Tamandua tetradactyla: one gene and its partner. The protein of the gene in region 1 purifies or fractionates together with the protein of each later gene. This does not show direct contact. Links are inferred from orthologs where the notes say so. Each region holds a gene or a part of one and is shown on either strand. Other genes may lie near its edges.

What was found. Proteins that work in one complex are often made in the same cells at the same time.
Region 2: the proteins of MAD2L1 (region 1) and KIF20A purify together in Homo sapiens (affinity purification with mass spectrometry; 4 studies listed by BioGRID and IntAct, with this or other methods). This does not show direct contact. The link is inferred for Tamandua tetradactyla from reciprocal best matches to the Homo sapiens genes MAD2L1 and KIF20A.

What each region holds. Positions count from the first base shown.
Region 1 is NC_135348.1:48,646,115-48,653,163, forward strand, and holds the start of MAD2L1 (mitotic spindle assembly checkpoint protein MAD2A), read left to right. Parts: upstream 1-3,996; 5' UTR 3,997-4,151; coding exon 4,152-4,224; intron 4,225-4,931; coding exon 4,932-5,078; intron 5,079-5,472; coding exon 5,473-5,593; intron 5,594-6,371; coding exon 6,372-6,475; intron 6,476-7,049. UniProt on the Homo sapiens protein: Component of the spindle-assembly checkpoint that prevents the onset of anaphase until all chromosomes are properly aligned at the metaphase plate.
Region 2 is NC_135346.1:17,854,152-17,862,048, forward strand, and holds the start of KIF20A (kinesin-like protein KIF20A), read left to right. Parts: upstream 1-4,857; 5' UTR 4,858-4,912; exon of another isoform or gene 4,913-5,112; 5' UTR 5,113-5,333; coding exon 5,334-5,378; intron 5,379-5,829; coding exon 5,830-6,015; intron 6,016-7,171; coding exon 7,172-7,261; intron 7,262-7,361; coding exon 7,362-7,481; intron 7,482-7,897. Other genes in the region: BRD8 (bromodomain-containing protein 8), read right to left, coding at 3,746-3,842, 4,783-4,801. UniProt on the Homo sapiens protein: Mitotic kinesin required for chromosome passenger complex (CPC)-mediated cytokinesis. Following phosphorylation by PLK1, involved in recruitment of PLK1 to the central spindle. Interacts with guanosine triphosphate (GTP)-bound forms of RAB6A and RAB6B.

The sequences.
Region 1 (7,049 bases):
TCAAAAAGGCTCTGGGAATTAAATCAAGATATTATTATTTACCTTTGAAAGTATACCTTTTGGTAGCTAATCATGTTTGAGCTATGAAAATTCTATATGTGGCTATATGTCCCTATCATAATAAAGGATTATGCAACATGTTTTCTGTTATGAAATAGCCTGTATTTTCATTTTATGAACTTAGGGTTTTTCATCTTAACATGTTTTATTAATATTTAGCACTTAATTTGTACTAAGAATAAAATTTTTAAATCCTATATATACAACTAGATCATTCAAAACCTATTTTTTACTGTATTAAGCCATTGCTTATCTATGAAAAGTCATGATTCAAATTCACTGTGCTATCTTTGGGACATGTGGGCCAATGATCAAAAACTTACTATGAGGGAAATTGGAACTTTACAAGATCTGTATTTTCAGCTTAATCCTTAAGTATATAAAAATATATAAACATATATTAGGTCTACAAAATGAAGCCCAAGTAATCAGAGTAAAAAATAACCGATTTATTTTCATTCCTGTCCTTCACATAAAATAAGACATAATCTAAATGATATAACACATAGAATAATCCTAAGATTTAGGACAAAAATGTTCTAAAAAAACAAGAGTTAATCTTACAAACAAGCATAATCAAATAGGTAGATGTATGTCTTATCAAAGGAATCATACAGAAAAGTACACCACTGTTTACCAGATTTAGAACAAACTGCTTTATTTCAAGATATTGACCTTATAAATAAAATAACTGGCTATTTGATGGGAAACTATCATAAGTCTATGAGAAAATGATTACTGAAATATTTTCAATTCCAGGTAATAAATTAATATGAAAATTAAATGTAAACATAAAATATACTAAGATTTCATATATACAAGTATGTATAAATATGTCTGTGTATATGTGCATATAATGTTTAAAAGAAGGAAAATCAGTTTTATATAATATAGTATGATGCAACATTTCATTTAAGTATTCCATATATAAGTTTACCTCAGAAACTACCGAACTCATTTTTACTTCATTACTTTATCCAGTGTTTTAGATCAGTTTTGTGGCAAACTTTCTGTAAACAGCTAGAATATAAATGCTAAGTTCTCTGCACCACAGAGGTCTGTTGCATAGTCTTCTCTTTTTTATATTTTAACAATCTCTTCAAAAAATTCTTAGCTGTGGACCATACAAAAATATGCCTTGGTTCAGAATTGACCAGTAGACCTTAGTTTGCCTACTCCTGCTTTAAATAATTTTATTTACTTATTTATTTTACCTTTAACTTAAACAGACACTCGGATTGAATTTTTAAAAAGCATTATTTCACATGCAAGCAGTGCCATCTTCTGGTAGTTGGAACTATTTCTGTATTAACATAAAATTTATTAAACTGGAGTTGAACTGCAATCTTTGTAACAAGTTATGTATACATACTATTGAGTTAAAAAACAGCCTAAACTTCATTTAATTTTTTCAAAGTAACATGTAGAAAAAAAAAGAGCACCTTTAAGCATATCTTCAAACAGACATCATTTTTAAGAGTAAGTCAGGTACTGTATAGATTTCACTACTAAAAACTCAGCATAATTATACAGTCAATATGAACCTAAGTTTTCTCATTTCAGATTATGCAACTAAGTCATTAATTAAGCTACATCAATTCTAAAATTCCATTTGATTCTACCTTCAGAAATTTTTACATAACTAGTGCTAGGTTTTTATGTCAACCCTAAGAATCCAGAACTCCATGATGCCTCTAATTTAATCAACCCAGGTGGGTATTCAAAGATGGCTAAAAGTGGCCTTACCTCATCCATCCGACCTGCTCTCAGATGAAAATATTTGTTGGGTTGTTCCATTTCGTTTTTCTAGACAAATATTCAAATGTTTATTAATTCAACAAATATTTGTGGGGCACTCACTAAATGCCATCACCAATCCTACACAAAAATAGGGAATATATAATATAAATCACTACATAACTATTTACAATGCAACAAACGCTTTTAAGCAATTCTATGAGAGGCTATGAGAATACATAAAGGACCTTAACGTGAGAGGTCACAGAAACTTTCTTCATTTACGTTAAGAAGGGGTGTGAGCATATTAGGGATTCACAAGTGCAAAATAAACTTTCTAGGTAGAAGACAGCCTATTATGGAAAGCCTTGAGGTGGAAAAGGGAATGGAATGCAAAGTTACTAAAAGAGGCAGACAAATTAGAAAAGTAATCTGAAAGGGAGCTGCAGAGGTAGGCAAAAGCCAGAAAAGATCAAATTCGAGAGCCTTCAATATTTTTTAGAGAATGCATATTTAAACAATATTAATTATTGGCATAAACCACGTCTTCCAAGTCTTACTCATTTCTTATATCTTCTCAGAGTACAAAGAAAACATTAAATAAATATTTCTTCTATACATGAAAACCTCATATATTTTCCTAACCTTTAAATTTGTTATAGCACAATTACTTAACATTTTCAAGTAATTTACAACCCATATCATCATGAAACCCAAGGAAGTCTTTCCTGAAGTGCTGGCTTTTAGCAAAAAGTTTCTTAAGAACAAAGGCAATTTTTAAATGGAAAAAGGTGGGTGCCTTGCCCTAACGCTTGATACCAGAATTCTAGCCCTAGCACAAGCTCCGGTAGAAAGGGTGAGAGACATCTAGATTCCTTGCCCCTTCACTCTTCACCTTCCATCATGTCTTGCTCTTCACACCAAAACTGGTCATTTAAAAACAAAACACAGACTAAAAGGATGTAAGGAAAAGACCTTACTGGATCAAGTCTGCCCATCTCCCATGACACACACACTCCGCTCTGCAAACTAATCCAGCCCTGGGATTTCAAGACGGCTTCGAGTCCAGTCGCCTGGCGAGCAGGCCATGTGACCGACCGCCTGCAGAGCTCGTCCACAGAGAGGTCACTTCTGGGGCCAGTTAACCAAGACATTGTCTGAGCGGACCTGACCTACTCAGGTGTGTCCTGGAGTCACAGAGACCCCAAGGGAGGGAGCCTACGGCAGAGTCCATGCAGAGGCCGGACACTTGGACCTCAGGACTAAACCCGAAGGCCCAGAAGGCCGAGGGGCCCGCGCCCTCCGACGGAGCCCCAGCGTGCGGACACCCGGATCTCAGCTCGAGTCGGCGGGCCCTTCCCGCACTCTCACCCGCAGGCCGAGGGCTAAATGGGGGTCTTAGTGAAAACTCGGGGATGTGTTAGGCAGCAACGAGAACATGAGCACACTGCCAGGCCTTTCTCGTCCTACGTAATCAAACATAGCATCTGGTAGACGTCAAAGTCCTCGGTTTGCATTTTACGAGCCCATTCCCCGGCTGTCTCAAAGGAAAATCGTTTCACAACTGAATGGGGACTACTCGTGCAGAATCTCCGGACCCTCCCACCCAAACGGGCAGAGCCCCGGAACGTGTGGGCCCAGTCCGCCGTGACGTCCTCGGCGCGACCGGCCTCGCGGCGGGATGACCTTCACCCCGGCGCGGCCCGGACTCGCTCCGCCACCTCGGGCTGGGCTCGCCCTCTCACCCCCGGCCAGTTCTCTCACACACGGAGGACGACTCGCCGAGGCGTCGGGAGAATGGTCCGACTTCCCACAGGGTCGCGGCGGCGTCCCCACGGCCGCCTCGCCTCAGGCGGGCAGTCCCGCGGGCCGGTGTGCCCCTCGCCTGTGCGATCCACAGGCCTAGTGAGCGACCACATCATCAGGATCTCCCTCCTTCCCTCGGCTTCATCTAGTTGACGCGACCAGAGGACCCACGCGCGAACACCTGCGCGTCACAGAGCGCCACGCTCTCCCACGCGCCTGCGGGAAAAGCCCGGACGAGGCGGAAGGGGATCGCGCATGCGCACAGGCTTCGCGGCGTGGGGCGGTAGGCGTACGGGAGGGGGCTCATCGCGCCTACGCAGAGGCGGGAGGGCGGGTGGAGGCTCGTTGCGCCTGCGCAGAGGCGGGAGGGAGGCGTGGAGGCTCGCCGCGCCTGCGCAGAGGCGGGAGGGAGGAGTGGAGGCTCAACGCGCCTGCGCAAAGGCTCTCCGGCGTGCGGCGTAGTTACTTTTGAAACGAGCGGCGGGAACTGCTGCTGTGGTCGCCGTGGCCGCTCTTCGCTGTTCAAGAAGCGTTCTCTGTTCCGGACCATGGCGCGGCAGCTCTCCCGGGAGCAGGGCATCACGCTGCGCGGGAGCGCCGAAGTCGTGGCAGAGTTCTTCTGTAAGTCCACTCCCGCGGCGGGCGGGAGAGGCGAGGCCCGGGCCGCGCCGCCGCGAAGGCCGAGGTGGGGCCTGAGGCAGGGGCAGCCCACGGGCGCCAGGCGGTCGCGAACCGACCCGACCGCAGCCTCCGGACCTCCTGCTGAGGAAGGGCCTCAGCCAGGGGCAGGTCCTGGAGACTGGCGCCGGCGCGCTGCTGACGGCGGCGGAGCTTGGGCCCCGGAGGGTGAGTGCCGGCCCCGCCCTCGGCCCTTTCCCGGGGGTGAGTGCCGGCCCCGCCCTCGGCCCTTCTCCGGGGGTGAGTGCCGGCCCCGCCCTCGGCCCTTCCCTGGGACCGAGGACTCCAGGGCTTAGGGCACAGGACGACGCAGTGGGTCCCTGTGTATATTTTCCTGGCTCCGCACCCCACCCCCAGGTAGTTCTGAGTCAAGCGTGAACTGTGGGAAGCAGTGTTCTTGATCAGGCTTTCTGTAGTCGGGACTCCTGATGGTGCCTGGCAAGATTTGGGAGAAAACAGGGTGACAAAGTCTTGCCAAGGATTTGTAATGCCACTTTGTACCTATTTTGCTTTCAAGAAAGTAGGGGTATTTGCGTGTTCATGTTTCCAGTTTTAGAGCATTAATGAAACTATCCACATCTATATAGATGTTTCATTTTCAAAGTTACAAAATGATAATGATTTTTCTATAACATTTCTTTTGCTTTCAGCTTTTGGAATCAATAGCATTTTATATCAGCGTGGCATCTATCCATCTGAAACCTTTACTCGAGTGCAGAAATATGGACTCACCTTGCTTGTAACTACAGATCCTGAGCTCATAAAATACCTAAATAATGTAGTGGACCAACTAAAAGGTATTTGTTAGTTGTAAACAGTCTGAGTTTTGCATCCCTTCTGAGATCCAGATTTTCTAGCATCTTGGTGACTGTTTTTCAGCCCTTTGGGAGAGGTAAAACAAACTACCTTCTCAAATATTGTTATTGTCAATGAGAAGAAGCAAATAATATATAGATTGAGGGAAATCCTACCCTTCTGCATTCTGAATGGGGCTATTCTATCCTCAGCATCTTGTATTACATGAACTAGAACAGGAGCTGGGTTGTTAATGGGACAAGTTATCTGAGCAAATGAGACAAGTTCCAAAAGACCAGTGGTAAGAATTTGCTGAGAAAGGGAAAAGGACCTGAAAAGGCAGGGTTGCTTTGCAATGTAGTGGAACAAACATAAATGCCTTATTATGTGTTGCAGATTGGTTATACAAGTGTTCAGTTCAAAAACTGGTTGTGGTCATCTCAAATATTGAAAGTGGTGAAGTCCTTGAAAGATGGCAGTTTGATATTGAGTGTGACAAGACTGCAAAAGATGAGAGGTATGAATAAAATTATTTTTACTCTGATGTATTCTTTCCAAAACTTGTCTTCATTCCTAAATGAGTTAAAATTATAACTTTAGTATTTATGGTGTTACATGTGAAATTGCAAGATGTACTAAGTGGACCATTTAAGGAATTGTGCTTGAAGGTACTCTTAACTGTAAGAGATTTTCCTAGGCTCTCCCCAGCTTAACATGCAGCTCTGCTGCATTTCCTTTAAGCTATGAACTTCCTAAGGTGCTTCAAAAAAGTCTAAATCTAATGCCTGGATAAGAAGTGCCTGTCATTATATGCTGATGTCCACCATTGTCCTACATATGCTTTTCTGTAAACTCAGAAGCATAATTATTTCTCATTATGGAGCATGGTTTGCTTCTAAAGCCTTTAGTGTATTTCAGGAAACTAATTTGATATTTTATTTGAAGCAATTGGGAGGTAGATATATAAGCATTATTAAAAATGTCAAAATGATTGTACCAAAATGATTTTAGATACCATTTATTAATTTTATTTTAGGAGGTCTTGAAGTTTTCCTAACTCAGAGATGCTGGCAGTTTTCTAAACATCTGATACTAAATGACCTGATATTATGATTGGAAGAACTGATGAAATAATGATGCTTATTGTACCTACTAAGTTCATTCTTTTTTTAAACTTCTTTTTGATGCATTACTTATTTCAGAAGCATTTAATCAGATAATCTTAGCTATTGCTATTGTTATATTTTAAATGACTTGTTAAAACCTAAAATGAATTGACTTGATTTTCTTGATAGTGCACCCAGAGAAAAGTCTCAGAAAGCTATCCAAGATGAAATTCGTTCCGTGATCAGACAAATCACAGCTACAATAACATTTCTGCCACTATTGGAAGTTTCTTGTAAGTTTATATTATGCAATTTCTCATACTAAGCTACTAATTTAAGAATCACTCCTTTATTACATTTTTTCTTTAGTTTATAAGTAGGGGGAAAAGTGAAAATAGTATATATACATATAAAGTAAACCTAATATATAAGCATTCTAGAAAATTTGGAAATACTAAAAAAGAGAAATGTCTTTCATAATACTCGTTCTTGAATGTTTTGATGTAATTCCTTTCAATTTTTTAATTTTATATGAGTAAGATTATGCTATAACTATGTCTGACTATTCAGACTTAGTCCTTCATTCATCAAATATTTATTCAATGCCTGGTATATGCCAGGTATTGTTTGGGCAACTAGGATATAGTCGTGATCCAAACCAAAGTGTTAGCTTTCCTGTGCCTTACATTCATGTCTTATGTAATTATAAACTTACTGTGTATCTTAGAAATGGTTTCCTCTTTGAAAAAAACAAAAAAATCTTGAATTTCTCTTCAGATTAGGTAGAATAGTGTGGTATTTTTTGTATTAAAATGAATTTCCATTGAGAAAAATAAATTAGTGATTAGCATTCAGGTTAAACCATCT
Region 2 (7,897 bases), on another chromosome or scaffold:
TTCTCCTAAATGTCCACAATGCTTAACTTCTAGTACTTCAACTCTATGAAAACCAAACAACCCATAAAAATAATTTAAAAATGCATGTGATAACAAAGAATCTATTTATAGTAGTAATTGAAAAATGACAATTTCCTGCTGATTACAGTCATACAACCTTTTCAAAAGTTGTAAGCAGAAAAACAAAACAAAGAAATATGCAAAAATGAAAAACAGTTGGGCTGGAATGGGATCAAGGAAGGATGCAAACAGGCTTTGAACGCATCTATGTTTATCTCTTTAAAATAAAAAAACATGATAAAATATTAAGATTTGCTAATATTAATATTAAGGTACATGGGCACTCATATCATTCTCCACACTTTCTATGTGGCTGAAATAGTTCATAACGTTAAAGAAAAAAAGTTTTACAATTTTATGCTGGCATAATATCATAGAACTTTTCTCCTTTACAAAAAGTTTAATATTGTTATATAGAGAGTCATCAGGAAAATGAAGCTTAAGTCATAATTTACACCTTAATCTAAGATAAATTCCAAAGAATCAAGATTTAAATGTTAAAAAAAGGGCAACCATGAAAGTACTTAGAAGAAATCAGAGGAGAATTATTTAATTTTATAATCTCAAAGTAGGGAAGAACTTTCTAATTATGTCACAAAATCCAGAAGCCATTCAAGAAAAATATTAATAAACTACATTTTAAAAGTCTTAAGGTAAAATGCCACCTTTGAGCAAAGCTAAATGGAACAACGGTTAAAAAAAAAAGTTACATCTCATAGCTCAGTCAAATATATAATATCTAGTAATACTATATACAAACTCCCAAAAATTAGAGAAAAGCTAATCATCAAACCCAAAAATGGGCAAAAGACCGTATACATAAAAGGAAATGTGCATTTTTAACATACAAAGAGATGTCCAACTTCACTCAATATATGATAAGCGAAAATTTTAAATATAAGATACTATTTTTACCTTTCATATGTCAAAGATCGAAAATACCTGATAACACCGGAAATAGAAAAACAGATACTCTTATATATTACCAATGGGAGTATCCACTGAAACAATCTCTAAGGGGGACAACTTGAAATATTTATCAAATTTTCTAAATTCATTTACTCTTTGACCTAGCAAGACACTGTGTATCTTTTTGCATTTTGAACCTTAAGACTTACTTTCTCCTCAAAAAATTAAATAAAATTTAAAATTTCAGGGTTTTACTTAAGTGTTTTTATAGTATTTTTCTAATAAAAATGTGAGGAAATGAAGATTGGGTTATTTCAAAGCAGTTTACTTAATGAATTTGGTTTATATTTGAATCAAGTTATATTTAAGTTCAATCTGAAGTTTAGCAAACGAGTATGATTCATTCTGTTTCGGGGCTTTTCATTTAATTTGGCTCAACAATAGGTGCTACCTAAAACAGACTGGTCCTCCCTTAACACAGACTTTACTGCTCCCAAAAAATTTGCAAGCAAGCTTAAGATACTAACAAATTCTGGGGGCCTGTTACCTATAAGCAGTTTTCCAACTCTGTCACCAAGCCCCCTAAAAAAATACTGAAAGGCTTGCAGTCTACCAAAGGGGAAATTTTTTTCATCAATTTTGAAAATAGTTAAGTTTTACTGAGAGCAATTTTCTGTTCATTTAAGAACAGGCTAGTTAAAAAGAAAAAGGACAAGAAATATTTGAAACAAAATAAAGGAAAACTCAGAACAGAGTCAATAATTCTGACGGTAACAAAGTTCACAAGGTCTTGTTAAACAATGCTTAAACTACTTCATGTACCCTCTTATTTGCTAGGGTGAGGACAGTCAATCAATAAAGGAAGTTACTGAGCTGCTTTCAATACTTCCAAAATCATAAGGAATGGATAGTGATGACAGCATAACACTGACTTTAACTGATACCACTGAATTGTATAAGTAAAGAGTTAAAATGGGAAATTTTATTTTGTATATATGTTACTATTATTAAAAAAAAAGTATAAAGGCAGCTGTATATTTACCTAGAATTAGGATACTCTGCCAGGCTAATAAAATAAGTCAGATTTGCTACCAGCTAGAACACCAACAAAGCATGCTCATACTGGTTTTCTCATCTATTGAAATAACTATCTGACTAGCAGTTATACGTACCTTTCATAAAATGAGAAAACACACAAGGAAATAAATACAATTTATTTTAAACAGAAAAATTTTGAGAAGTCTAGTATCTTACAAGATTCTTAAAATTGAAAATGTGCATATCTCAGATCTAGCGATGTCACTTCTAGGAACTTATCCTATAGAAATACTGATACAAAGAGAAAACTGTACCCCTAAATGCCCGTAGAAGACAAATGTAAAACAAATTATGGTATATCCAATGGAATACTACTGAGTTTTTAAAAAGAATAAGATCATATCTAGTGTATTGACAGAAAAATACCCACATACTGTCTTAAATGAAATATCAAGCTAAAAACTATGTATATATGATGTTCCTATTCTTATTCAAAAAAAAATTTAAACATGTCCACAAACCACACATAGAAAAATTTATGAAAGGACATATCAAACTTAATGGAGACTACTCTAGAGTAAGAAGGGGAGGATATGGTGAAATCAGAATATTCATTCATTGCTGGTACATTTGCAAATCATCTATGTGATAAGAGATTTGTATCTGAAATATATAAAGAACTCTTACAACTCAAAAATAAAAAGATAAATAACTAAGAAATGGGCAAAGCAGAGTACACAAGTGCTTAAGTAGTAAAATGCTTGCCTTCCATTCAGGGGACCCAGGTTCGATTCCCAGACCTTGCACACCCCCACACCCCCCAAAAAAGGGCAGAGGATCGGAATAGGTATTTCTCCAAAGAAGATGTACAAATGGCCACTAAGCAAATGAAAAAATGCTCAATACCATTAATCATCAGGGAAATGCAAATCGAAACCAAATGAGATACCATTTCACACCCACTAGGATAGTTAAAAACAAAAGGACAAAAATAAGTCTTGGTGAAGATGTGGTAAAAGTGGAATACTCATTCATGCTAGTGGGAATGTAAAACTGTGGTTGCTTTGGAAAACAGTTTGGCAGTTCTTTCAAACTTAAATACAGAGTTACCATATGACCCAGGAATTTCACTCCTAATATACCCAAAAGAATTTAAAGCACAAGTTCACACAAAAACAAGAAAGATTGATGGCAACATCATTCATAATAGCTAAAAGGTGGGAACAATCCAAATTTCTACCAACTTATGAGCATACAAAATGTGGCTATCTATACATGGAATATACTTTTCAGCCACATAAAGGAATGAAGTACTGATACATGCTATATTATAAATGAAATTTGAAAACATTATCCTATGTGAAATAAGCCAGTCACAGAAAACCAACATGTCCAGAACAGGCAGATCAAGAGAGACGGAAAGTAGACTAGCTGTTGCCTAGGGATGGGAGTGGGGTGGAGGAAGTTATGTAGCTTGACTGTTAAGTGCTTCTCTCTGGGGTAATGAAAATATTCCAAGATTAGATTATGGTGATGGTTGCACAACTCTATGAATATACTTAAAACCAATGAGTTGTATTATTTATGGTGATTTACATCTCAATAACTCTGTTTAAAAAAAAAGATGCTTAAAGATTAATATATAGATTAATTAAATATAATTCATTAACTATATCCAACAGCAGGAAAAAATACCCAGCAGTTCTAAGACCCAAGACAGACATCATGGATAACGTACCAATTCTGATCTCCACTTCTCATTACAGAAGATGCCAAACACAGCTTTTCCCGGATGGACCATGGCTCTGTGGGGCCAGAACTCAACAGTTTGTGTTCTGAAAGTAGAGAAAGAGTATACAGATAACCAGAGACACGAGTTTTAAGCACCAGAGAACTAAAAGCCTAATACAAAACACCCAACTTGTTAGCACAAAGTAGGCTCTTATAGCACCAAATCTGGATTTTCGCCGTTAAAGCGAAATAGCTGTGTATCACGGTGCGGGGTGCGGGTGGGGGGTACTTATTCTTTGCATGAGAATTGCACGGTGTGTGGTATATGGGAGAACATTTGATTTCCTCAAAACCCAAGGCTTCAAGCTCCGCTTTAATAAAAGATAGGAAATGACGTATTAAGCCGAAAAAGTTTTCTCGAAAGCCCCAATTTTAAGAATACTTTCTCTAATTTAAAAATACAGGTTTATTTCCCAGGATTCCGAGCGGCTAGCTCCGCCTGCTGCCCCGCCTCCTTCTTAGCATAAAACTGTTTACTAGTCTCATTACCCCGCCCCCAACTGTCGGGCCTAAAAGGCCTTCTCTACCTATTAAACATAAGGAAAATAATTGAGATGTACGAAACTCAATTTTCCCGGTGGCAGAAAAAGCTCACGATTAAAAGACCCCATTTCCACTGCCTCACAAACACATTCGCTAGAAACTGAACTGATGTTTGAGACACCAGCCCCTCCGTATGATGGCCGAATCTGCGTCTGCACGCCCAAGTTTCTAGAGCGCCTTTATGCCTTCCTCCGCGGAGCTCCCTACATACAGGGATTCGCTAAATACTTCCCTTACGCCTCCGCTCCCTCCCTGAGACACAGGACCCTATACTTCGGGCCCCCAACCGTTGGCCTTTACTACGCCGTCAAGCGCAGGTCTCTGGACACCCTGGGCTCTCAGCCAAACCACCCCAACCACTCCCTAAATGTTAGACTGAAATCTGGTGCCTAGCCTCGGCTCTACAATGGCCTTCCGCTCAAAAGTAGCGCAGACACTCACTGCCCGTTCCTGCCGCCATCTTGGCCCCGAAGTCTACTATCCCGGAAGAGTGTGAGTCAGGTAGGACCGGATCCCGGAGAACTCTGGGAAATCGAGTACGGGAGTTTGTTCGCGATGACTCCTGGGAAATGTAGGTTTGTTTGTTTGTTTGTTTTTCCGACCCCCCCCCACCTCCCCCAACGGAGTACGCAAGTTAAAGTAGCGTTGCTAAGGAAGGACAGGGGATGGCAACTGAAGCCTCAGGCTTCTTAGGAAATGAAATGTCTAGGGGTTACGCTAAAGGGTTAAGCCGGACGAATCCGAAGTGACTCGATTCCAAATTTCCGACAGTTGGTAACCCGGACCCACGTGAGAGTGGAGAGGTCAAATAGAAGCAGAAGTCCCCTATTTCGCCCGCCTCCCTTCTTTGCGCTGATTGGTAGCTGCAGGCTCTTTTGTCTGATTGGCCGAGTGAACGGAGCGCGTAATTTAAAACAATGTATCAGTAACAAAGCTGCGCCTCGTGGGCGGAGTTGTGCTGCGGACCGCTAAGGTCCAGGATCCGCAGCTGAATGAGTGAGTCGGTTCCGGAGCGGGAACGAGTGTCGCGGCTTCAGGTAAGTGTGCAGCTCGACTGGAGCCCGGGTTATCAGCTCTTGATTTCGCAGAACGGGCTTTCAGAAGGGGGCACCGCCACCATCTCTTTTTTTCTTAATACCTTTGCCCTCGTGGTGGACTTGGGAAGAGGTTGGAAAAGGAGCCTGGGGATCCTGACCTTTGACTCTGCCCGTGCCCCATAGTACGGAAAGGCGAGGTACCCTACTGGCCTTCTAGTTTTGGAGGTGTATCTCTTTTCTTTCCTATTCAAGGTCGGAAATGCCTCTCCAGAAAGGTTTCAAAGATTAACTCCTCCTCTCAACCCCTTCCCCGTATTTGGAGGGAAAAGGGAATAGGAATTCAGGCAGGCAAACCAGGTTTCCAAGGGTAAGGGGATTGCTTCTTACCTAGAATTTGCAACCCCTTCTGTCCTTAAAGTTTTCCTCCCTACCCACTCTTGTCTCTTTTCAGACCAAAGCTGTCCCTGCCGACATGTCACAAGGGATCCTTTCTCCACCAGCCGGCTTATTGTCGGATGAGGAACTCGCAGTTTCCCCTATGTTTGAGTCTACAGCTGCAGATTTAGGGTCTGTGATACGCAAAGACCTACTGTCAGACTGCTCTGTCATCTCCACTTCCCTGGAGAACAAGCAACAGGTAACAGAGTTGGGGCGTGGCTTGGGGTAAGAAAGTGATATCTCCACCCTACTAGTTGTCTATACAGGGTGTTAGGTCAAAGGCAAGCAAAACTGAGATTCTGAGAGATCGGTTCAAAGTGAAGGGTAATGACCAGTCAAAAATGTAGAGTTGGGTTTCAATAAGAAGAATTAGTATTAGCATTGCATTAATAAAATACCATCATGTCCCTCCCAGTCCTGTTAAATAATTTGCAAAAGGTCATACTGCCATTAAGTAGGTGAAATGTACACTCAGGTTTTAATAATATCAACCATCATTACGATTATTGAGACTTTCTTTTTGTTAGGCCATGATTTCTCAGCTGCAGCATTATTGACATCGGGGGCTGGATAATTCTTTATTGTGGGGGACTGTCTCGGAAATTATAAGATGTTTAGCAGCTTTCCAGGCCTCAACCCCCTGGATGCCAGTAGTACTAACCAACTGGTGACCCAAAAAAGTCAGACATTGCTAAATGTCCCTGGGAGCTTGGGGAGGGGTAGGGGGAACGTTTGCCCTGCTAGAGAACCACTGTACTAGACAGGCCCTATGTTAAACACTGAATCTACATTGTCACATCTTGTCTTCAAAAGTCTTCTTTCTCATAAAGGGCAGGAGCTTTGATGATAACCCTCACTATGAACTACTAGAGCCTCTTAAATTCCTGAGCCATGATAGGCACTAAATATCTGTAGAATGAATGAGGTGGGTGCTATTATTAACCTCATTCTACAGATGAAAAAAACTGAGGCAGAGAGAATTTAAAGAATCTGTTTAAGGTCTCATAGTTATTAAATGATGGGATTAGGACTCAAATTCAGGTGTGTCTGCCTTTATAGTGCTTAACTACTGTGCTTTGCCCTAATATCACATTCTGACTTTCATACCAGTCAACTAATTCTGAGATAATCAGTATGGCAATGAACAGTGGCAGGATACTGATGAGATAGGGAAGAGTGACAGAGTAGTGAAAAAGTCCATATGAGTTGGGATGATTGTGAAAGCAAAGAGTACCTGCAGAGACATTTGGGGTAGAAGGGGGTAGAATCACTAGCATGATTCCTAAGAACGGTGCTATGTTTGCCTATCTGCTCAGATGATTAATCTGTTTTTTTGGGTTGAAATTCTGCCACAGGTTCCATCTGAGGATAGTACCGAGAAAGTGAAAGTATACCTGAGGATCAGGCCCTTGTTACCTTCAGAATTGGAACGACAGGAAGATCAGGTGAGTATCTGAGGAGGAAGGACTCAAGATGGAATGATGTAATATAGAAGTAGTTCCCAGGAATGCTTCCTTTTGTGACAACTGTTTTCCCCACCCACAGAGCTGTGTCCGCATTGAGAATGGAGAGACTCTTGTTCTACAAGCACCTAAGGACTCTTTTGCCTTGAAAAGCAATGAGCGAGGAATTGGCCAAGCCACCCACAGGTTCACCTTTTCCCAGGTATGAAGGTTCTGGGCTGTGAACAAAGAACCAGCATCTAGGGACAATTTCATTTCCTCTCTAGAAAGAACACTTCTTTACTTGACTGTGAGATCTTAAGTTGTGTGTGTGACTCTCTGTATGTTCATGTGTATATAGCCATGCATGAGTTTGTATATGTACCTATATATATACACGCATATAAATACACACATGTACACATCTACAGTTTGGGGAGGGGTACTGTTATGTGCTAGTACTGTCTGAAGTACTTTATGTGCATTAATTCACGACTCTATTGTTGTGATTATTATTGTTGTTAATCCTATTTTCCCCGCAAGGATACTGTGGCTCAATGAAGTAACATATATGGTACAGTAGGACTTGGATCCAGAGCCATCCATCCCTAAAGTTCATTGTGAACCATTATTCTGCCT